Linked DNA regions of Canis lupus familiaris. The main gene of each other region encodes a partner of the protein of the gene in region 2 in a complex. Links are inferred from orthologs where the notes say so. Each region holds a gene or a part of one and is shown on either strand. Other genes may lie near its edges. The genes, in order: VPS52, VPS54 and VPS51.

Region 1 (7,562 bases), on a different chromosome or scaffold from region 2:
AACTCTGGCCAAAGATTTGCAATGTTTTTGTGTTGAAAATTACAAAAGGTTGCAAGAAGATATTAAAGAATATCTTTAAAAATGGGAAGCCCAAGTTCATGGATGAGAAGATTCAACATCATAAACTATCAATTCTTCAAAATTGATCCAAACTGATCAATGCAATTCCAATCAAAATCCTTAAAAGTTTTTTCAATGTGAAAACTTAACAGCTAACTATAAAATTTATATGAAAAAATCAAGAGGCCAATATATTCAAGGTATTCCTGAAAAAGATAGAATTTGCATAATTATATAGCATAATGTTTGCATAGTTATAAAGCATTATAATTAAAACTGCACGACAGGTCAGACAAATTAATCAATAGAATAGAATAGAGGGAAGACACATATATTTATAGTTTTGCTATGTGACAGAAGCACACTGCAGATCAAGTAGAGAAAGGGATTTTCCATAAGTGCTTCTGGGCCCATCGTTATCTATATTAAAACATTAAATTAGGTTCTACCTCACATCATACACAAAATCAATTCCAGGTAAATTTAGAGCTTAAACATAAAAAGCAAGATTCTACAACATTAAGAAGAAAATGTAGTATAATGTTTTTCTGATGTTAGGATGATATGAGACTTTTCTTTTTTCTTTTTTAAAGATTTTATTTTATTTATTTATGAGAGACACACAGAGAGAGGCAGAGACACAGGCAGAGGGAGAAGCAGGCTCCATGCAGGGAGCCCAACGCAGGACTTGATCCCGGGACTCCAGGATCACGCCCTGGGCTGAAGGCAGGTGCTAAACCACTGAGCCACCCAGGCGTCCCTGAGATTTATTTTTTAAGATCTTATTTATTTATTTGACAGACAGTGAGTGAGAGAGAGAAGAGAGTGCATCAGCATGGGCAAGGGGCAGAGAGAGAAGAAGCAGGCTCCCCACTGAGCAGGGAGCCCAGTGTGGGGCTGGATCCCCAGGACCCTGAGATCATGACCTGAGCCAAAGGCAGACGCTTTACTGACTGAGTCCCTCAAAAGCCCAATACAAGATTTCTTAAATGAGACAGAAAAATCAAGAAAAAATCAGTAAAGCCAATCACATTAAAATTAAGAATTTGTCCATCATGAGACAACATAAATAAAAATAAAAAATAAAGCTCTGAAATATATCTGCAACCTATACAACCAAAAAATTGGTTTCATAAATATATTTTAAAAATCGTATAAATCAAAAAGAAATACACAACCCAATTTTAAAAAGGCCAAATGCTACAACAGATATTTTATGGAATAGAAAACTTTGTATAACTACTTAACATTTGAAATGATGCTCAATTTCAATAGTAATCAGAAAAATGCATATAAAGACCCCTAAGGAGATACCTATACCAGAATGGCAAAGATAGTTTGGTAATACCATGTGTTGTAGAAAATATAGCTCAATGAGAATTCTTACACATTGCCAGTAAAGAAAAAACTAGTATACCACTTAGGAAAACTATATGGCACTGTCTCATAAGGTTGAATGCTGGCAAACCCTACAAGCAACAAGCCAAGTCCTACTTCCAAGAGAAACTTTTATAAAACTTCTCTCCATCTACATGCACTAAAAAACATAACTGTTCATAAAACAACTCTCACAGTTGCAAAAAACTAGAAATAATCCCAAGGTCCACTTGCAGGAAAAAACGTTACATTCACACAATATAAAATTATATAAAGTAAAAAAGAAAAAGCTGTAGCCATATGTCATAATATGATAATGTTGGAAAAATTATGCATGAAAAAAATCCTGTGATTGCTTTTATGTCACTCAAGAATAAAAATAAAAATAAAAATATAATACAGGTGGGGAGGTACCTGGCTGGCTCAGCAGATAGAGCCCACAATTCTGGATCGCGGGGTCATGAGTTTGAGCCCCATGTTGGGCATGGAGACTACTTAAAAAAAGAAAATAAATAAAAAATAAAAACGTTAGAAATAAATAAGTACAACTAAGTTAATTAGTTGCCATACTTACAGCTATATTTTTGAAAGCAAGAGCATGGTAAACACAATACTTAGGTCAAGAAAAGACTTAAAAGTGTGATGGGCAAGGAAATGGGCTGAGGAAGAATTCATTGTTTAATGCTGGTTATCGTCAAGGTAGGTGAAGGCTTCAGGGGTATGTGTATCGTTAAAAAAAAACACAAAAGGAAAGGAAACCAGTAGTTCCAATTCTGGGTACATGAAGCCCTTTACCTGCCACTCCCTAAACACACACACACAGAAGAGAAAATAGCACATGAGACTCTCCCTCTCTTCTTCCCCACCCCCCTACCTGTGTCCGAGCATTGAGCAGCTGCTGGAAACTCTCAACCTCTTTGCTGTCATCTGCAGCCCGCTCCTAAGGGAAGACAAAGGGAAATCTCAAGTGTGGGAGAAGCAGCCCTTGACTTCAGGATATCCCCTTCCTTCCACATTTACTGTACTTGGCCAGGCAATGCGCCAGATGCCAAGAATAACTTACGGAACAAGACCAAGCTCTGTCCTCACAGAGCAAACAGAGCAGTGGGGGAGGCCAAACCCTCTGGGTAGGGAGGAAGAGAGAAATAGTGTCTGTACCATTAGCACGCCCAGCATCATGTCATAGTTGTTGATCAAAAACACAAGTTGCTCCTTCCTTGAGGAGAACTCAGCTGCCACTCGGAGGACAAAATTCTCCACTTCCACCTGGAAAAGCCAGAAGGAAGAGGTGACATGAGAAGGTGAGGGCACACAGCGCTCCTCACACTGCAGGCCACTGAGGCAGCCCAGCCACTGGGAAGTCTCTCCTGCCCACCCTCACCTGTAGCTGTCCTAGCAGCTGCATTGTCCGTTCATTGGGAACTGTCTGATTGATGCTGACAAGAGCAGACGAGAACTCTGCATATCGGCGCGTGATCTTGGGAAAAGAAAAGTGGTAATAAAATCACACCATCCCCCTGACCCAACCAAAGCAATCTTGCAAGTCCCTAGGAGCTGGCCCATCAACCTCTGTGACTCCCACCCCCAATCACTATAATAAATGATGCCAAATTCACCCTGAATTCACATACTCCTAGACTGCCCCACACACAGAGTGTGCCCCAATATCCAGCCAGGCCCACAACACAACTGGGAACCCGACCAACCCCCATAGTGAAGCTAGAGCCCTGCCTTTTGGGAACCCCTTTGTTACCCTTGCCCTCTCTCACATAGTGGGGCCGAGTATCCAGCCCCCCTAGCCGCTGAGGGTCAGTGCTTCGGACACTCTGGACATTCATCTCCAGGATCAGCTCAAACCGTGGCCACAGCAAGGCAAGCACTTGCTCCCAGTACCTGCAGACTTAATCAGAATTAGAGATCAGCTGGCAAGAAATGTGAGGGTCGTGATGAGCACTAGGTGATACATGCAAATATTGAATCGCTATTATCATACACCTGAAACTAAGAGGATACTGTATGTTCACTAACTGGAATTAAAATAAAAATTTAAAAGGCCAAAAAGAAATCTGGGAGGACGGAGGTAGGGTTTCTGTGGGGGAACCCAGCTGATGGCTGATGGAGGTTGGACTAGTATGAATGGTGAGGCAGAAAGCAGTACTGTCCCCAGGCAGATGAACGGGAGTAAGAGTCAGGTGTCTGGTCAGCAGCAGCCCAATGGTCAGAACAGGACCATGTAAAGCCAAGGGTTCAAGAGCAATGGGGCATCAAGGACCAGAACTCAGTGACCTGTCCAGGGCAGGAACATCCCTCTTCGCTGCAATGTTACGGAACCGGAGGACGATGTGGATACAGAGAAAAACAGCAATGGCATCGTAGCAGTCCGTGAGATAGGACTCCAGGTGTTTCTACGATTCAGGGATAGAAGAATTGGAAAAGAGCGTTCGTTATTCTGTCATTCCTAGTGGCTACAGACAAATGCATGTACTCCTCTGGGGATGCAGCCCTGGGAGGGAGGGTAGGGAGCTCTCAGGAAATGCCTCCTCCTTCCCTGTCCACTAGCCCCTCAGGTGGTCCTGCTGCCTTGCCCATCAGGATTTAAGATCACAAGCCCATCACAGCAGAATTCAGGGCTGAGCACCATTTCAGGGGCCCCTCCGTTTTCAGATGCTACTGCCTGGCTATGGGTCAGTAGTAGGGGTACCTCAGGGACCCCAAGCTTTGAGGGTTTCATATGCTCTGTGAGTACAAGGCTTAGACATTTTAGAATTAGGGGGGGCCTGGTTTCAGTACTACCAGAGCTATGACCCCCTACAGTGCTGCAGAGGACTGAGGACAAAGGGGTCTAAGAGCACAGGAGCTGGGGATCTTACCAGGGTCATGCCAAGGGTGCGACCCATGACAGCATGGAAGAGATCATGTGCAGCCGAGCCGGATACAACAAAGAATTCGCAGATGAAAAGATATTCACGGCAAGAATTGTCTAGGAGGGCGTAGTGCTGGCTGCGGAAGAGGGCCTCAAATGGATACTAGGATGGGAGAGGTGAAGAAGAGGGACAGAAGGGATGGACCCCAATGCTGACTCTCCATAGATATTGCTGGAAAATCAGCAAGCCTGGGTAACGAGAGCTCAGGTCTTTCCCATCTAACCCAGGTGCAGGCTGTGAAGGAGCATCCTGAATGGGTACTGAAAGGGGTAGAGGGACGAGGGGCTCAAGAGAAGAACCCACCCCCACCTGCTGTTATTGCACCACCCAACTCTACAACCTACCCCAAGATGTTCCCTTCAGCCAATCTCTCTCTATATATGTCCTGAAGTCAACGGTCTCAACCCTCTTCACATCACAGAACACTTGGGTGATCCAAGAAGGTCATTCCCCGTTCTAAGGGGATTGATACAGGGGACTGCAGGGCGGGAAGCTTTGCCCAGAGGTCTGGCCTCTCCTACCCATGCCCAGCACACCCTCATGACTGACTCTCATCCCTTCTCCTACCCTCTGTTCTCCCCGCTGGGCAGTGTGGGGCACCAGGATGGGGGCCTCCAGTTCAGTGGGGGAGATGACAGAGCCACGGGTCCCCAGGGTGAAGATGGTGTTCCTGCTGCGGAGGGAAGGCTTTGAGAAGAATCGTAAAGGATCAGAGTCAGGGAAAACAACTAGATCACAATGGTGACAGACTCAGAGGCTCATTACCTCCAGGGACCGCAGGCAGCCAGACACAGCCTAGATGTCCCTCCTTCCCAGTACCTTGGCCCCACTTCATCTGACACCCGGGAACGGGCTTCAGAGAGCTCCTACCCTCCCTGCCATCACATGTAGAACTATGTGTCAAAAGGATGCATGCCTTTTTCGGGCGGCAGGGGGGGAGGGGGATAGCCATTATCACATTCTCAAAGGTTTTGGTCCCAGAGAAAAAGACAAGAAGCAGTGCCTTTGAGGCACTGTCACTATCAAGGCCTACTACGTGGGTTCCTCAGTTCTAGGATATCTTTCTTTGCTGTGTCTTCCACACCCATTAGATCATCCTTCTCGGCAACTTCCTCATACTAAGAAAAAAAGAGAAAAGGGAACCAGTAAGCATCTCCTCCCCTGTTGTGATAAAACAATTTTTCCCCACTGTCCAGCCCTGCCTGGGGGTGGCCCCTCTTCCCCAATCCTAGCCATGCCTCCCTCCTTGGCCTCACCTGCACTTTCATGAGCCGCCCTAGGTAAGAGCGATAGTAAGACAGGTAGATCTTGCTCAGCGTTTCCACATACTCATCCCTGATTTCCTTTGCCGTTGCCCGTTCATTGCCCAGCAGAAACTGGTAGAAGAACCTGGAGAGGCCAGGGACAAGTCAGTCTCCCCACCTTCCCCAAGAAAGCAGACCCCTCACCAGGCTGACTGATGGCCCAGAGGCCATGCTGAGCCTTTCCTTTGGGCACTGACCTGTACTTGAGCAGGGCCGTCTGGGGGATCTGATAGTTGGTCATTGGTTTTCTGAAGGAATAAATCTTCTGAAGGATGAACTCTCGGATCTTCGTCACCGCCTGGACATGGGGGGAGGAAACAAACACAGGGCATGAAGCTGCAACCTTATGACTGTTATGGAAATGGTGGGGGGAGGGTCACATTTCAAATACAGGAGGATGGAGGTTGGAGAAGACCTCATCAGTATTTCTGAAAGTGTTCAGGGGAACCTAGAGATGTGAAGATGAGCTCTGCCAGTAAAGGCAGGGTGAAATTCTTGGGGATGGGCTACAGTGAGCGCTGCTGGGGAAACCCAGGTTGAAGGTGTCAGGGAGGCTGGTTCTAGTAATCTTGGGGGTATCATCCCCACCCCTCACCTTCACCCGTAGCCGGTCAAGTATGCCTCTGACATCAGCACAAGCCGCTGTGCCTCTAGCCTCCTGCTCTCGGACTGCAGCCGCCTTGGCATCCAGTTCCTGCAGCTGCTCCAGGAACCTAGGCTCTGTCACTGGTGCCTCCAGAATTGCCCTGGGTAGCAGGGACAGGTGGAAGGGGTTATAGGAGGGAGACCCAGACATCAGTAGGTCCCAAACTATATTCCTTACATCCAGCCTGTCACCTCTCCCTTCACACGCTAAGTCACATAGTCAGGATACGTGTACAAAGTCTCCTGTTCCTGGAACCTCCCCCAATCCCACGTCCATAAAGCCTTAAACCTCCCAACTAAACCTCCCAACTAAATGCCTGACTCTGGATATTCCTAATCTTTGATGCCTAAAGCATGCATCAAGGTTGAGTTGTCAACCACCCATCAGTTTCTGGAAGGTGCTTGAAGAGCTGAGGCCAGGAGACCCATGTGGTAGGTCATCCTAGACCATCTACCTGCTATAGACATTGTAACTCTTCAAAATGGCAACTTACATGATCAGAGCAGAGGGCACTATCAGACCATCGACAAGTTCCCCAAGTTTTCCCCGAACTGCCTGGCGGTTTCGAAGCCGAATATTCATGGCTCCTGACTGTTCCTGCAGTGTCCGGATCTCAGAGCTAATAGAGCTGAGGTCACTCTGAAAAGCTCCCAACATCTGCTCCATGCGCTGGGGGGAGGACAGAAGATGTTGTTGGAGCACCAAAGGGTTGGCAAGGGACAAATGGGCCACCTAAGTTTATTGGTAAAGTCTTCAGTATCAGTCCTCGAAGGTAGGTGATGAGGTAAGAAGTACCCAAAAGGTCACTGGCAAATAACATTAGTTATGGCAGTAGCAACAAAAAGGTCTGCTAAGGTCATCCTGAACGTGAATCTAACTATCCCCACCTGAGGATGATGACTTAAAGAACAACACCAGACCATGATCTGGTTCAGGGTTAAGAGGGATCACAGGTCATGGTTACTAACCTCAAGAACAGCATCGCAGGCTGTGATCTGGTTGTGGAGAGACGCTATGTTCTCACTCTCCTGGATATCTAATCCACAAAAAGTCAAGGGGCCTCACCATAAAGCTGGAGATTCTCAGACCTGTGGGACTATTCCCATTTTTCCCAGAGATGACAGAAACTGCCATGAGAAGATGTCAGCCCCTGCTGGGCTGCATGCACCATGCTCCGCAAAATCTCTATTTTAATAACATCACCCTTTTTCTCTACTGGAGGATACAATCTCGAATGGATTTCTGCTCAAT
Region 2 (8,071 bases):
TTATTTACTATCTTCATCTGACTCCACTTGCCAAAAGTTTACTCCTTCTCTAGCTCAGTTAATGGCAACATAATCTGTTAGTTTCCTAAATTAGAGACCCTAGAGCCAACTTGACTCCCTGATCTCTACATTCTTTAATTTCTATACCAATGTGGACTGTCCTATGGATTCTATCTCCAAAATTAATCACATACCCATCCCTTGCTCTCCATTCCAATTGTCAGTAATCTAGTTCAGGATTTTATTTACAGATTAAACTGCTATGAGAATCTTCTACCAAAAGTCATTCATTGGTCCTAACCTCACTCAACTTTAGAATCATCTTTCTAAAATTCAGATCTGATTAGGCCCCTCTCCTTAAGTATTCTTTGATACACATCTATCAAGTCCAAAAACTTTTTTACAACCTGGTTCTAATCTACCCCTCAGTCTAGCCAAACTGAAACATCATCAACAAGACATTAACTTTCTTGACATATTTATATGATTTCAAAGTTTTACTTTATTCACTCCATATCATAAAATGTGATGCATACCACAATATTCATACCCAAACACCAACTTCCTGTGAGTCAAAAAGCCAACTATTTGATTATAAAATTCTCCAAATCAGTAACACTTTTGCCATGAAAATTCCCTTCTTAAATCCAATTTGTTTACAATAAAAACAAACAAAAAAACAAATATCGCCACATAATGTTTTCTTAATACTGTCTCCAACTATTCTAACCTAATGCTACCCTCGAAAAATCTCATTCAATAGCTCCAGTTCTGTTTCTTCAAGTCTTAATTTTGCATGACTGTAAAGCTGACCAGTTAAAAAAATTGTAAGAGATTACATTTTTCCCCATTCATTTCATGTTTTTTAGTTAATTCAACTCTAAACACTAGAGCACATCTATGGACTACTGGACATGTAGAAAAATCAAAGCATCTCGTTTTGTGCAAAAAGATGTTGAAAAATAACAGAAAAAGAAACAAATCTAGAAAGAGATTAAGATCTTACAGTGAATAGACTTTAAAACTCTATTCAGTTAAAGCCTCATATCTGAAGAGCAATTACTAGGGGCAGAGTACCCCCTAATTATAAAACAAGTCAGAAAGAATTATTCCCAACAAGGGAATTAATCCAGATAACTAGAGCTTACTCTTGAAAAGGCTAAAACTTTTTGTACAAATATGTCACTACTGAAAATTTTAATTCTGAAATGAATTATATATTTTTCATAACTTTTCAAATAGCATAGTTTAAAAACGGGTAACCCTTTCTCGTTAACTTATATTTGCCCAAAAAAAAAAAAAAAAAAAAAAAAAAAAAAAAAAAACTTATATTTGCCCATATTATACCGTATTTACAGTGATACTTTCAGGTGCTACTGAAAGAAGTCAATTTGCTCTTATAGGGAAGAATTTGAAATTTTGGTGATAATACTGGTTCTTTTACTAGTTTGTTACCAATATATTTTTAGAATTTCTCTCTTCTTTCTAGAGATACTATCTGCAGTCACTGTTCTCTGCCTTGCTGTCTATATTCCTAACTTTGGTACCCTCTATATCCTATTCTAATTTGATTCTTCTGAAACAAGTAACTTTTTAAAATTTAGGTATAATTGACAAATAACATATTATATTAGTTCCAGGTGTAGGAACTAATTCTTACACGGTGTTTTATAGTTGACGTAGCACCTAAACACACCTTACCTTACTTAATTTTCACAATCACATTATAATACAGGAATTATCACTATTCCTATTTCATAGATGAGAGTCTAATCAAGGCTCAGAAAGACTGAGAATAATAAATTTATCTAAGTAATAAGGCAGGTAAGTAGCAAAAGTGACCCCCAACTGTCAGTCTTTTTTTCTTTCATCACTAAACTAAGCTTGTTAAAAACAAATTAAATGAAAAATAAAACCAAACTAAATGAGTCAAAATTGGGGCCTACAAGAATGAGAAAAAAAAGTTGCAATTCATATATGAGCTCCGAATCTTGTTGGACATTCACAATGTACATTAGTAATTCATAAAAAATTAGTTTACTACTTCTCTCTTTTGGCATTTGAAGCTACCAGAAAAACAAAACCAAAAACCTTCTATATAAAAAAAAAATACTACTATATCTACTGCAATTTCAAAAACCTTTGCACCAGTAACTCACAATTCAAAACACAAAAGTAGTTCAAATCTGCAGTAAAAGAAGGCTTTTGCATTTTCAGGGAAAAAAATTTTTTCTTCAGAATTTGAGATACCTAAACAGACTAAAGAATATCTGCATTGTGCATAATTAGATTGCTTTCTACTTCTCCCTTTACCGCCTTCCACTTTATTCCACTTCAAAGAGTGAGTCGTTGGAGGACTTAAAGGGTTAATCTAATGTACTAAACAGTACTCAGTGAGACCTATTTTCCCACCTGGTGGGAGATGAGAACACTAGTTCAGGCACTTACTGGAATAATGCAAACCACAGGTTTAAAGCAATACTACCACCATTTGGGTGGATACTTCTTTGTTGAATGGGGAGGGTGGGATGACATAGGATATATCTGGTGCATTGTGAAGTTTGGCAACATTCCTGCCTAGATGACAATGGCACCCCACCTTCAGTTGTGACATTGAAAAAAGAAAAACGTTTCTAGACACCGCCAAATGTCTCTTGGAGGGCAAATTCGCCCTGTATGAGAACCATTAGTTTGGATGTTAGGGCCGTGGGTCTTTGGAAAAGGAGGCCTACAACCAACCTTGTTAATCTTAGTTTTTTTTTTTTTTTTAATTAATTTTGTTTTTAAAATTTGAATTTTTAAAAACAGAACAATAACAGTACAAGGAGACACCTAAATAATATACAGTATATGCCATCCTTCTTTAAGTTAAAGCATTTTTAGAGAATTTTGTTAAGATGGATTTCATCTATGTGGATACATTAGTCTCCCCACAATCCTCCATCCCCAAATGGGGAAATGTCCAGTTCTTCTCCAACGCTGCTAGTAAAATGTCAAACATATGCACACATAAGAGAACCTAACAATTCTAACTAGCAAATCCCCATGTCTTGCCTTACTTGGCCACACTGTGGGTCTTAAGCCACAATCCTAGAGATTCAGGCTTCCACTCCAGATTTCTTCATATGGTTCCTGCCATCTATTCGTGAAGCAAGCAGGAAGTAAGCTGATGACCTTTAAGGTTTTTTTCTAATCCTGATATCCTAATATTCAATGGCAAAAATAGTCCAACTTCTACTTGACTCCCAGCTAATCAGACTACCTCTTGAGATCACTGAAATCATTCATGCTAACTTTTTTCTTTCTCCATACTTTATGCTGAATATAACCAAATAATCAGTTGTTTAGAACATGGATTATTAACACCAGTGATCAGCTGCTTATTCTGACTCAAAATATTTTAAACATGTAAGTTGATTTTAAAAGAAACGCCTCAAAAAGCTATGAGCTGATATCATCATGAATAAATCACAATAAGCAAATATTAAGATGGAAAATACATTAGTGGTTGCTAGGACAGAGGTCAGGTGGGGAGATGAAGGGAGTTCTGTTAATGAATAGGTTTCTTTTTCGGGTAAAATTAGGTTAGGATGATGGTTTCACAACTCTGTGAATATCCTAGAAATCATTTAATTTTACATTTTAAGTGAGTGTGCTTCAAAGTTGTTTGTAAAAAGCTAAAGCAGGAAAAAATTGCACTCAACTTCCATTGATAGGAAAAGGAATGTGATTAAGAACAAATTCTGCAAACTTTGCCGTTTCATGAGTTATGTAAGATCTGATTATAATTCTGACATAAAAACTGGATAAATTTTAACTTTTCCGGAAAGCATACAAAAATTTAATCATCTTTTCCCAGTAAACTTTGGATAATCGAAAAACAACAAAGAACACTGCAGAAAGCCAAATGCTAGAGGAACAACACCTCTACAACAGCAAAATACAGGAGTATAGTCAACAAAATATGGAAAGTCTTTATAGTTCTATGATGCATTCTTTACAAAGAAAACCCTTACAACATTTTTCACTCCCTTTGAAAAAAACAATCCTCAGACTGTATAATGTCTGTCCTGGGAAAGAACTCTGAAGTTATCAGCAAAATTTAAAAACAGCCGAGATCACAGTAAAACTGCAAACATCTAACCCCCCAGATCACAACTATCAATCACCCAAAACCTGCATCTATTGGTCATTTTTACCAAAACCTATCATCAGCAATGATGACCACTAGGAACCACCAAGTAATACCCATTTCTAGGAAATAAGGCTCTGAGATACAGTCAAATCCCATCATTCGTCTGTTCCACCACAACTGCTTAGAAATCAAGGCTCCCTAAGTACTTTTTCCAATCAGAACTCTCCACCAGATTTATAAAAGTCCACCTGAACGTCTATCAAAGTCTGCAGTTCAAGTTACCACCAAAACGCGTTTCTCAGCACGCTGTATCAGGATATCATCTGCCTTGTAAGCATTTACTATCAAGACTGCCCTGGGGTTTGAGAAATCAAACACAGAGGCAATTAAAAACAACACGAAACAAAAAAAAAAGGGGGGGGGGAACCACACAATTTAATTCTTCGAAAGTAAGGAGAGCCTCACTCAATAAAGGCCTAAATAAACAAATAAATAAAGCTGGTTAAAAGTGAATTGAAACAAAACTTGCAACCCCGGGGCCCGTCAAAATTCTAAAAATAACCACCCTGCGCGCTACACACGGGCCGAGCAAGTGGTTTATTGTAATAATGGGCCCCCGAAAGTTCTCCCGTCCACGACGGGAGCAGGCAGGGGAGGAGGCCTGCTTTTTGTACCGATGCCCAGATGGAAAGAAGCAGAACTGAAGAAAATCAATTACTGAACAAATGATGGCGAACTGATGGCCAAACTGCAGAAACACCGAGTTATGGGGGGGGGGGGGGGGAGGTTCGCCTTGCTTTTCTTCCTTAGAAAAACGATTTAAAAAAAAAAATTTTTTTTTTACATGTAAATTATTCCAGCAGCCTCCAAAGGGGGGGTTAAGCAAGGGCCGGGCTGGAACAAGAAAGGGAAAGTTTGGGGGCGGCGGAAGTTCCAGCCCGGATCCCAGAGAGGGGCGCGGGGGGGGGGGGGATCGCGGCGATGTCGGCCGCCGACCGCCCGACCTGAGGGGGGGAGCACGGCCGCCCGGCCCGAGCCCAGAGCGGCGGCGAGGAGGAGGAGGAGGAAGGGGGGGAGCGAGGGCGGAATGGAAGCTCCGGCGCCCGTCAGTTGCGACCGAAACTCTTTCGGCCGCGGCCGGGGGGACGAGGGGGTGGGGTCTCGGGCCGTCCCCCCGCGGGAGCCGGGGCGGGGGGCGCCGCGCGGGGGGCCGCCACCTACCTGCGGGGCCCGGGCAGCCGCCCCAGAGCGCGGCCTAGCGCATCGCCGCCGCCTCCAGCCCTCCGCTCGCGCCGAGGCTGCTCCGCGGCCGCCGCCGCCCGGAGCCCCGCCGGGCCCGAGCCCGAGCCCGGCCTCCCGCCCCCGCCCCGCGCCGCGCCGCGCCGGCGGGCCCGTCAGCCGGGGGAGCACAGGGCCGCGCCCCCGAGCGCTGCTCCGTCGCGGGTGAGAGGCGGCCGCGGCGGCTCCCTCACGTCTCTCCCGGGTGTCCTGTCAGCCAGCAGTTTCCCCCGGGTCCGCAGCGCCGCCTCCGCCGCTGCCGCCACCGCCTCTCCCACATCCCCGGCCTCCGGAGGAGCCGCCGCCGCGCCGCGACCACCGCCCCCGGCGCGCCCGCCGCCTGCTCCGCCGCTCGCCCTCGGCCCGCGGCCCCCTCGGCCCGGCCGGGTCCCGGACAGCGCGCCGGAGGCCGCCGGAGGCCGCCGCAGCCCCCGGCCCACAATCCACCGCGCAGGCGCCTCCGCCGGGGCGGGAGGGCCGCGGCCCGGGCCGGGGCGGGGGGGGGGCGCGGGGGCGGGCGCGGGGCTCCCGGGAGCGGGAAGCGCCGGCGCCGGCCCGCGGAGCCCTCCACGCACACACGGACGCCCGCGCCCGGCCCCGCGCTGCCCCGCGGCCCTTCCCCCGCCCGCCTTCCCGCGGGAGCAGCCCCGGGGCCGGCCGCCCCCCAGCCCAGCCGACTCCCGCCGCCCCGAACGCCTCCCGGGACCTCGTCCAGCAGACACTTTCCCAACCTCCCACCTCGCCTTTCAAGGCCGACGCTGTTTATAGAGTTTCCCAAATAAAGGTCCTTTGGAAGGTCAAAGGTCACCCTCTCCCCCCAACACCCCCCCCACCACCACCCGGACTCGGAAAACCGTGCACTGTGCCCTCGCAGGGACGCCCTCCCCCGCCCGCCGGGTCCTGCTTTAAGTTTCGCCCTGGTCGCAGGCCTCCCCGCGCAGCCACCCATCGTCACCCTACGCGGGCACCCAGACCGGTTACTTCTGCTCTGGGACTGAGATCCCGAGATACCTTCTGGCTGTGATTGTGAACAGTGATACCACTCAGCCTGGCGTCCGAGGGCTTGCAATTCTAACCCAGCAAAAGAGCAACCTGCACGAGAGGACATGTGTCTCAGAATATATATATATGTGTGTGTGTGTGTGTGTGTGTGTGTGTATATATATATATATATATATATTTTTTTTTTTTTTTTTTTTTTTTTTAGAAGAGAAAAAGGGGGCCTCAACCATGGGCGGCTTCTGTCTTCGCTTCAGGAGGACTTCTGAACATTTTGCAACTACTCCTTGCCTTAAAATATCTGCCAAAGTTGCAGGCCTTTGTTTTTGTTGGTGGTGGTGGTGGGTTTTTTTTTTTTTTTTTTTTTCTCAGTTGCAGGTGTTTATAAGCCAACCTGTTTTATCAAAAGTGAAAATGTAGCGCTTAACAACTGGGGATTTAAAAAAAAAAAAAAAAAAGGTTGGTGCAAATTTCACTTCCAAGAAGTCACTTTGAAAACTGCAAACACAACTTTGTGAAGTATTTTACCCACTAAGGAGCTAAAGCTGGGGGAAGGGAGGACATAGGCGAAGAATGTGACAGAAATAGCTGAGAGGAAATTCTTATGTTTTCCTGAATTCAACTCATTCTCTACAATTTTGTAATGAGAGGAAAATATCAACCCCCTCCCATATGAAATAAATTTAACTATAATAAAGAAATCCCTCTGAATCCCTGATCTCATATAAAACCAGATGAGTTTTTATTATGAAAATATTAAGGAAAGCCTCTCCAAATTTCAACCGAGGCCAGAGAAGAAAATGATTTCAATTTAAGTCTAGAATCAATTTTTAGATTATACTAAGAAATGGATTTAGCAATTTCCCATATTTTGAATCTGTATCAGGAAGTCAACAGTAGTCTGAAAGTTGCCAAAGTCTGCAGTTTGGCCTTTAAAAAGCTTATTTGTGTTTATACCTCACCTTGTTTCAAAAAAAGATTCCAGGTTGTTCTAGTTGGCACTTGAATTAAATAATTATCGTGAGGTATCTCCCAGACAAGACAGACTGGTTTGCTTTCCTCATTATCCATCCGTAGATAGCATGCCATAGGAAGAAAATACACAGTGAGTATTTTGCTTAATTCTTTCAGGGATATAACAAGGTATTTACTTTTAGTTTGCCACAGAACAATTCATAATCGTAAATGTAAACAAAGAAGTAAATGCTGATGTTAAAGTTTGTCAAAAAAAAAAAAAAACCTGTTAATTGGACAAGTAATTTAATTTAAAGTTAGATGAAGGGGATCCCTGGGTGGCTCAGTAGTTTAGCACCTGCCTTGGGCCCAGGGTGTGATCCTGGAGTCCTGGGATCCAGTCCCGGGATTGAGTCCCACATCGGAGTCTGCTTCCTTCTCTCTCTCTCTCTCATTCTCTCTGTCTCTCATGAATAAATAAAATCTTTTAAAAAATAAAATAAAGTTAGATGAATTTCCATTTAATTAATATGTTCATTTGTCATCTCTTGAATTGCTTCATTAGAAATGATTTATTTCATTGAGTCAATCATTAGAAAAGCCAAACCACAAATAAATGTGTAGAGATGCATTATTAGTATTCATTTCCAGAAAACACAGATGACAGAAAATTAAGATAAACTGATAGAAATCATGATTGCCCTC
Region 3 (8,051 bases), on a different chromosome or scaffold from region 2:
TATTGAGACAAAGATCCAGTTCTACCCAAGGCTGTGATTGGGCAGGGACACTCATAAGCAACAAGAAAACGTTTCCTTTGTATGTGGAAAAGGTGAAAACTCTAGGATCCTCAGCAGTATCATCCAGAAAAATGGGCAGAAATGGTATGGAGGGACATGGAAACTCCCAGGAACTAGAGTAGAAGAAGGACAGCTTGAACTTAGCCACCTCCAGGACCTCCTTCCTATCTGCCTGCCTCGGAAGTTAGGTTCAGGGTCCAGCCAAGACCCAAAGTCTCCTGCTACATCCATGCTTGCTGCCCAGTGTCATTAATCACAACAGTCCCTTAGACCCCCATCCTGACACATTACAGTAGTGACCCCCAACGCCCACTTGTTGGCCAAATGTTAAAACCATTGTTTCAAAAAAAAAAACAAAAAAAAACCCATTGTTTCCATCTCCATTCTCATGTAAATACAAATGAAATTTTATACATTAGGGCTTCTGGCTCAAAACCAGTTAAAAATTATCCAAGTAGTGCATGACTATGTTCTTGTAAAAGATTTGCATAATACACAAGCATACAGAGGAAAAGACAATGACCTGCCCGCCTCCTACCTACCTCACAGAGGTATCCCTCAACAGTTTAGTGAGTGGGCATCTTTTGGATCCCTTCTTACTGAAACCTCATATACCTACCTGTATATATACATGTATAATTTTAAAAAGCATCATGGAGAACCACACCATATGTGTTGTCAAAGTGTAACTTTCAAAAAGTTAGGGGCAGCCTGGGTGGCTCAGTGGTTTAGCGCCGCCTTCACCCCAGGGTGTGATCCTGGGGACCCGGGATCGAGTCCCATGTGGGGCTCCCTGCATGGAGCCTGCTTCTCCCTCTGCCTGTGTCTCTGCCTCTCTCTCTCTCTGTGTCTCTCATGAATAAATAAATAAAATCTTTAAAAAAAAAAAAAAAGTTAACATGATGCTAGGTCTGGAATGAACATGTAACTAAGATGTATTAACCTATCAGTGAGGAGTCCCCCCTCAGTAAGGTGATAATGTATCTTGGGGACTTGGATATTGATAAGCATTCCTTTAGAGAGGAATGTTGGTGTGCCTATGTGGCTCTCAGTCAGGCGGCTACCTTTGGCTCAGGTCATGATCCCAGGTTCCTGGGATTGAGCCCCGCATTGGCTCTTTGTTCGGGGAGTCTGCTTCTCCCTCTCCTGTGCTCTCACTCTCCCTTTCACGGTCTCTCACTTTCAAGTAAATAAAATCTTTAAAGAAAAATAAAGAGCAATGTTAAAATATGATTCTAGGTTAGACACAAAACTGCTTGATATCCTACAGGACGATAAATAGAACTTTTGAAGTTACTTTTTCTGCTGGATATAAATGTTTTGTATATCTCCTGGACAATATCTACTTGTAATATCAGCATCTGAACACATAATGGTAAATAGCAATATCAAATGTTCATTCCTGTGGGTAATTAAATAATCATTGGATAGGCTTGTAAAACAAGCCCCAGTGTGGCATTAGCAGAACATGCTACACTCTTGGGTTTTTTTGTTTGTTTTTTCTTAAAGATTTTATTTATTCATGAGAAACACAGAAAGAGGCAGAGACACAGGCAGAGGCCAGGATCACAACCTGAGCTCAAGGCAGATGTTCAACCGCTGAGCCACCCAAGTGGCCTACACTCTTGGTCTTATTTCCAAATTTTGAATAATTTTTCTTAACCATTATTCTGCAACTTTTTTTTAAGTGTATAGACTTGGAGTAGATCTAAATCTTTATACTCATTTTTTTTTTTGAGATTATAGCATCATCAGCTGACACTATTTTTTAAACAGCCTCTAAACATCCTTCTTAACATAGATGAAATCTTTCAACACAGATTTCAGCAGTCAGCCAACTATTCTTCATGGTAAATGTTTTAGGTGTCAGCCATAAGGTCTCTGTTGCAACTACTCAACACTTCTGTTGTAGTGCAAAAGCAGGCACAGATAATATGTAAACAAATGTGCATGGCTGTGTTCAAATAAAACTATAGACACTGGAATATTTCATATAATTTTCATTTGATTTTATGAAAATCATCTTTTAAATTGAGATAGACATATTCCAATATTTTTAAGGGTACAAGGTAATGATTTGGTATTTGTATATATTTCAAAATGATCACAAGGAAGTCTAACATCTGTCACTATACAAATTATTAATGTTACAAATTATTTTTTCTCCTGATGAGCACTTTTAAGATCTACTCTGATTATATGAATTTTACATAATTTTCACATCATGAAATGCCATTCTTATTTTTTAACCATTTAAAAATGAAAACAAACAACAACAACAAAAAAACCAAACACACCAGTCTTAGCTCACAGGCCAAATGAAAACACGTGGTGGGATGTGTTTGGCCTGCCGCACCCCAGCCAAAGAATCTTTAAACACGGTGGTTTCCATTCCAACACCCCCCACCCCGCCCCGCCCAGCCGCCAGCCCATCACAAGTAATGTTTCAAGGACCATGTCGATAAAGTCGTTTTCTCTATTAAAACTCATCGTATCTATACTTGAACCTCATTACCTGTCCTCTTAAGCACTGCGCCTTGGTGAACAATTAATTGCATTTTGTTGAAATCGGAAACCTGAGAACAACCCTCATCATCTGCACCCAGCCCCTCACCCCCCCCCCCCCCAGCACATCCCACGGGTCGCTGAAGATCTGCCAAGTCGGTCTTCTAAGCAAGTATCTTAAAGTGCTTGGGGACTTTTTTTTTTTTTTTTTCCCTTAAAGAGGCTAGGACTGGGGGAGCCCAGGGTCTGAAGGCAGTTCTGACCCGTGTCAGAGGACGGGCGGGGAAACTGCTAGAGGCCCCGCCCGCACTGTGCGCGCATCTAACCTCGTAGCTCCCCCGCAGCCTCTTGTGAAGTCTGCACCCGTATAGTAGGAATGGGGGACATATTCCGGGGGCCCCTGCCTGCGGGGGTGCGGGGTTGGGAGCCAGGACCCGCCTTCCTTCTGGGAGGGAAGCACCAGACGAGTTCTTCTCAATCTGCTCGGGAGGCTGCGGGAACCCAGGGCTCTCCCGGAACCTCTTCCGCTCAGGGAGGAAAGGTAGGGGGAACGCTAGTCTCGAAGGACCCAGGGTTGCAGGGGGACCTTTTAGCTGAAGGACTGCCTCGTTTCAACAAGAACTTTATGGCTCCCGGAAGTGCCTCCTCCCAGTTCTTTCCCAGCCTCACACCCGTGGGCTGCAGTTGGAGTGATGGCGGCTGCAGCCGCTGGACCTGGCCCGGGGTCTGGAACTGGGGACTCTCCGGAGGGGCCCGAGGCGGAGGCCCCGGAGCGTCGGCGGAAGGCGCACGGGATGCTGAAGATTTACTACGGTCTCTCGGAGGGGGAGAGCGCGGGGCGCCCCGCAGGGTCGGACCCCCTGGACCCGACGGATCTCAACGGGGCACACTTCGACCCGGAAGTGTACCTGGACAAGGTGTGTGTTTGTGTGTTGGGGAGAACCAGGCCCCGGACACATCGCACCCCCCAGATCATGCCTTCGACTTTGCTGCGGGGGTGAGGGACGCAGGGGCTCGTAAAAACCAGATGACCCTAGGGCAGGAAGCAGGGGCCGAGCTGGAGTCTAAGGGGGCGTGGGCAGATTTGGACGGGCCGGAGCAGGTGCGGGGTGCTGATGTCCTGGGCTGATGTTCTGATAGGCCGGGGCGTGGGGCGTGGGGCGTGGGGCGTGGCCCAGGCGTTGACAGGCTTAGGGGTGGGCGGTGGCTGAATCTGAGCGTTTCAAAGGCTGACAAACCCCAAATAGAGTCGAATCTAGTAACTCCTGACCTATGGCACTGATAGGCTCTTTGTCTAGTATCTCTGCCAGGAGTGGGATGAGAGCTTTCTTGCACCCAAAGCCTACCAGGTAGGGGCAGGCCTGAGGGACATGAATGCCCCTGCCCTGAGCACTACCACTTGGATTTCCTCCAGCTGCGTCGGGAATGCCCCCTGGCCCAGCTGATGGACAGTGAGACAGACATGGTGCGACAGATCCGGGCTCTGGACAGCGACATGCAGACCCTGGTCTATGAGAACTACAACAAGTTCATCTCAGCCACAGGTGATTCCCGCTGGGACACACCCATCACAGTCCCGCCTGCCTGTTGGTCTTGTGTTGGGGAGTCGGGGGAGGAGACCCAGATTCTATTTTTTTTTTTTTAAATTTTTATTTATTTATGATAGTCACAGAGAGAGAAAGAGAGAGAGGCAGAGAGACATAGGCAGAGGGAGAAGCAGGCTCCATGCACCGGGAGCCCGATGTGGGATTCGATCCGGGGTCTCCAGGATCGCGCCCTGGGCCAAAGGCAGGCGCCAAACCGCTGCGCCACCCAGGGATCCCGAGACCCAGATTCTAGTCCCTCCCTGACATTTATCCACTCCCACCTCTCAGAGCTTTTGTGGTCAAATGATGGTAGCTGCTCTCAGAGGGTTATTCTGAGGGTCAAAGGGGAGAAAAAAACAAAATGAAAACAATTTAAAGGTTTTATTTGTTTATGCATGAGAGACACACAGAGGCAGAGACATAGGCAGAGGGAAAAGCAGGTTCCCTGGGGGAGCCCTATGTGGAACTCGATCCCAGGACCCCAGGATCACAACCTGAGCTGAAGGCAGACACTCAATCACTGAGCCACCCAGGCATCCCAACAAAATGAAACCTTAAACTGAAATGGGTTTATCTGAACCACTTAGAATCCCTGACACTATCGATGTCTCAGTAAGGGTTAGTTTCTCTGATTAGTGGTAGCTTTCTTCTCTTGCCCAGGTCTATCTTGAGGGTGGGCTTGTCTCTGTCTCTTTCTCTCTCTCGCTCCTTTCCTTCCTCTATCCCTTTCCCCCTTTTAAATTAAGCAAAGAGGGGGATCCTTGGGTGGCTCAGTGGTTTAGCGCCTGCCTTTGGCCTAAGGCGTCATCTGGGAGTCCTGGGATCGAGTCCCGCGTCAGACTCCTGGCATGGAGCCTGCTTCTCCCTCTGCCTGTGTCTCTGTCTCTCTCTCTCTGTCTCTATGTCTATCATGAATAAATAAATAAAATCTTAAAAAAAAATTAAGCAAAGAGACACAATATATGACATTAAGGGACACAGAGATCATGAAAAGGGTTTTTTTTTTTCCTTCTCCTCCTGCCTCCTTTATTCTCTGTCCAGGACAGTGCTAGACAGGGTTCAGCTATCATTCACACTAACTACTGTCTTATGTTGGTGAAATGCACTACTCAGACTTTTTTGTGATAATTTTGGACTCGTGTGTACATAGTTCTAGAGGCAGATCTCGAATGTCTACTGGTGGTCCATGAGAATGTTGGGTGAACCTTTGTGAGGCTCATTCTGACATCTCTTACTCTACTAGTGTCACAAGGTTGGGTGTAGCCATTGTCCTTTTATCTGATTTGAAACAGGTTCAGTGAGTAGGCACCTCTTTATTTGCTAATACCAGCATCAACCAGCAAGAAATCATAATTCCTAGGGGCGTCTGGGTGGCTCATTCAGTTAAGAGTCCATCTCTTGATTTCCGTTCAGGTCATGATCTCAGGGTCATGAGATGGAGATTGAGCCGGGTGTTGGGGCTCCATGCTCAGGGGGAGTTTGCTTTTCTCTGCCTCTCTCTCCCTTTGCCCATACCCTCATACTCTTTCTCTAAAATAATTTAATAAGTCTTTTAAAAAAAAGAAATCATGATAATTTCTGAGCTACAAAATTTCTTACAAGAACTTTGCAAACATTACATTTTCCATTTGTTAGAATTTGTATAATTTTGACATTTAACTGTTATTTAATAAAGGATGACTTATCTTTTTTCTAAGAAAGGGAGAAAATTATAAAATGAGTGTTGGAATCGGGGTTCTAAATCTATAACACGGTAAAGTCTTATATCCATTCAAGAAGTATTCATTGAATGCCTTTTTTTTTTTTTTTTTTTGCCAAGACCTGTTCTGCATTTTGGGGATATAGTAATAAACCAGCTAGATCAAGCTCCTTCCTGCAGCCTGCATTCTATTTGAGGAGACAGACAATAAATGAACACATAAATAAAGGTGGTAGTAAGTGCCAGAAAAAGAAAATAGAATAAGGATAAAAGAGTAATGTGCGTGTGGGTCTACCTTTAGCTAGGGTAAGTACGAGAAGGCCCCTCTGATGTGGTGACATTTGAGCAGGGCTTTCATGAGAAAGAACTAGCCATGGGTAGGGGAGCAAACAGCAGGGGCAGAGGCTCTGAAGAGAGGGCATGTGGGCATATTCAGAGTGCAGCATGGGGTTTAGGGGGAGCGAGGGAGGAAGGAGGAGAGTGGTAGGTGATAGGGTAGAGGGCTAGTGGATTCCAGATTTTGTAGGGACTTATAAGTGGTTACAAGGATCCTGCTCTTTACTCTGAGTGAGTGGAAATGAGAAGAATGAAGTGACCTGACTTGTTTTAAAAGGACCTTTCAGTCCACTCTGTGGGGAATGGACTATAGGGAGGCAAGGGTGGCAGCCAGGACACCCATTAGGTGGCTGTTGCAGCAGTCTAGGCAAGATGCCAGCGGCATGGACTAAGAAAGCTTCTTAGCCATCACAGAACATATGTTCTAGAGAAAGAGACGGATGATAAATATAGATCATTTCACTCAACAAGAACTCCAGAGAAAATGAAACAGGATAATATAGAGAAAGTGGGTGGTTAGGGGTAGTTTAAAAAGGGTGGCAGAGAAAGGGGTTTGTGAGGCAGTGACAGTGAAGGTAAATGATAAAGAGCTGACCATGTGAGGATTTGGAGGCAGAGCAGCTCAGGCTGAGGAAACATCCTGTGCAAAGACCCTGAAAATGCTGTGACAAGAGCAAGAGTGACGTGATGAAGGGAGCAGGACCTGACTGCATAGGATATATACACGAAGGGTCGCAAGCTTTTCTGAGTAAAGTACATATTTTAGGCTTTGCAGGCCCCTTGGTTTCTGTACTTGTCTCTGCTGTGATAACCTGAAAGCCACTATGGGCAGTAGGTGAATGAATGCAGATGGCTGTGCTCCAGTGAAGCTCATTTACATAAACAGGTGTGACATCCAAAATGATGTCAGCAGAAATAGTGGAGCAAGTGTATTTGAAAATCTTCTTACCAGGGCAGCCCAGGTGGCTCAGTGGTATGGCATCGGCTTCGGTCCAGAGCCTGATCCTGGGGACCTGGGATTGAGTCCCATGTCGGGCTCCCTGCGTGGAGCCTCCTTTTCCCTCTGCCTGTGCCTCTGCCTCTCTCTCTCTCTCTCTCTCTCTCTCTCTGTGTTTCTTGTAAATAAATAAATAAAATATTTTTTAAAAATCTGGGGATCCCTGGGTGGCTCAGTGGTTTGGTGCCTGCCTTTGGCCCAGGGCGCGATCCTGGAGTCCCGGGATCAAGTTCCGCGTCGGGCTCCTGGCATGGAGCCTGCTTCTCTCTCTGCCTGTGTCTCTGCCACTCTCTCTCTCTCTGTCTCTCATGAATAAATAAATAAATAATCTTTAAAAAATAAAAAAAATAAAAAATAAAAAATCTCCCTTCCATAAATGCAACCAAAAAACTGGTCAAAATTGTCAGAATCAACTTTTTGGAATTCTAAAAATTAACCAAAAGTTTGCAGCAATCTGAGGACCCTTTTTTCAAGAAAAACAACTGAATCTTGGTAAAAGTAGTGAATCCGGTGGTGGGTTTTTTTCCCCCTAAAGATGTATGTATTTGTTTGAGAGAGAGAAAGAGTACATGAACAGGAGGGGCAGAGCGAGAAGGAGAGAGAATCTCAAGCAGACTCTTCTGAGCCCGACTTGGGGCTTGATCTCAGGATCCTGAGATCATGACTTGAGCCAAAACCAAGAGTCTGACACCTAACCAACTGTGCCACCCAGGCACCCTGCCTGTGGTATTTAATTTATATATTTTAAAGACTTTTTGGGGGGAGGGGTACCTGGGTGGCTCAGGCAGTTAAGCATCTGCCTTCAGCTCAGGTTCTGTGATCTAACCCCTCATTGGGTTCCTCATTGGGAGAAACTCAGACTGCTTCT

The links.
Region 1: VPS54 (region 2) and VPS52 share a complex: the UniProt entries of both Homo sapiens proteins name them as parts of the golgi-associated retrograde protein (GARP) complex. The link is inferred for Canis lupus familiaris from reciprocal best matches to the Homo sapiens genes VPS54 and VPS52.
Region 3: VPS54 (region 2) and VPS51 share a complex: the UniProt entries of both Homo sapiens proteins name them as parts of the golgi-associated retrograde protein (GARP) complex. The link is inferred for Canis lupus familiaris from reciprocal best matches to the Homo sapiens genes VPS54 and VPS51.

Annotation. Positions count from the first base shown.
Region 1 is NC_049233.1:2,858,635-2,866,196, forward strand, and holds part of VPS52 (vacuolar protein sorting-associated protein 52 homolog), read right to left. Parts: coding exon 7,538-7,562; intron 7,348-7,537; coding exon 7,280-7,347; intron 6,981-7,279; coding exon 6,805-6,980; intron 6,412-6,804; coding exon 6,261-6,411; intron 5,964-6,260; coding exon 5,863-5,963; intron 5,751-5,862; coding exon 5,618-5,750; intron 5,480-5,617; coding exon 5,422-5,479; intron 5,063-5,421; coding exon 4,929-5,062; intron 4,464-4,928; coding exon 4,308-4,463; intron 3,843-4,307; coding exon 3,724-3,842; intron 3,331-3,723; coding exon 3,207-3,330; intron 2,915-3,206; coding exon 2,819-2,914; intron 2,704-2,818; coding exon 2,596-2,703; intron 2,378-2,595; coding exon 2,312-2,377; intron 1-2,311. UniProt on the Homo sapiens protein: Acts as a component of the GARP complex that is involved in retrograde transport from early and late endosomes to the trans-Golgi network (TGN).
Region 2 is NC_049231.1:64,961,245-64,969,315, forward strand, and holds the start of VPS54 (vacuolar protein sorting-associated protein 54), read right to left. Parts: upstream 5,461-8,071; 5' UTR 5,357-5,460; intron 1-5,356. UniProt on the Homo sapiens protein: Acts as a component of the GARP complex that is involved in retrograde transport from early and late endosomes to the trans-Golgi network (TGN).
Region 3 is NC_049239.1:52,606,963-52,615,013, reverse strand, and holds the start of VPS51 (vacuolar protein sorting-associated protein 51 homolog), read left to right. Parts: upstream 1-3,169; 5' UTR 3,170-3,257; coding exon 3,258-3,482; intron 3,483-3,979; coding exon 3,980-4,109; intron 4,110-8,051. UniProt on the Homo sapiens protein: Acts as a component of the GARP complex that is involved in retrograde transport from early and late endosomes to the trans-Golgi network (TGN).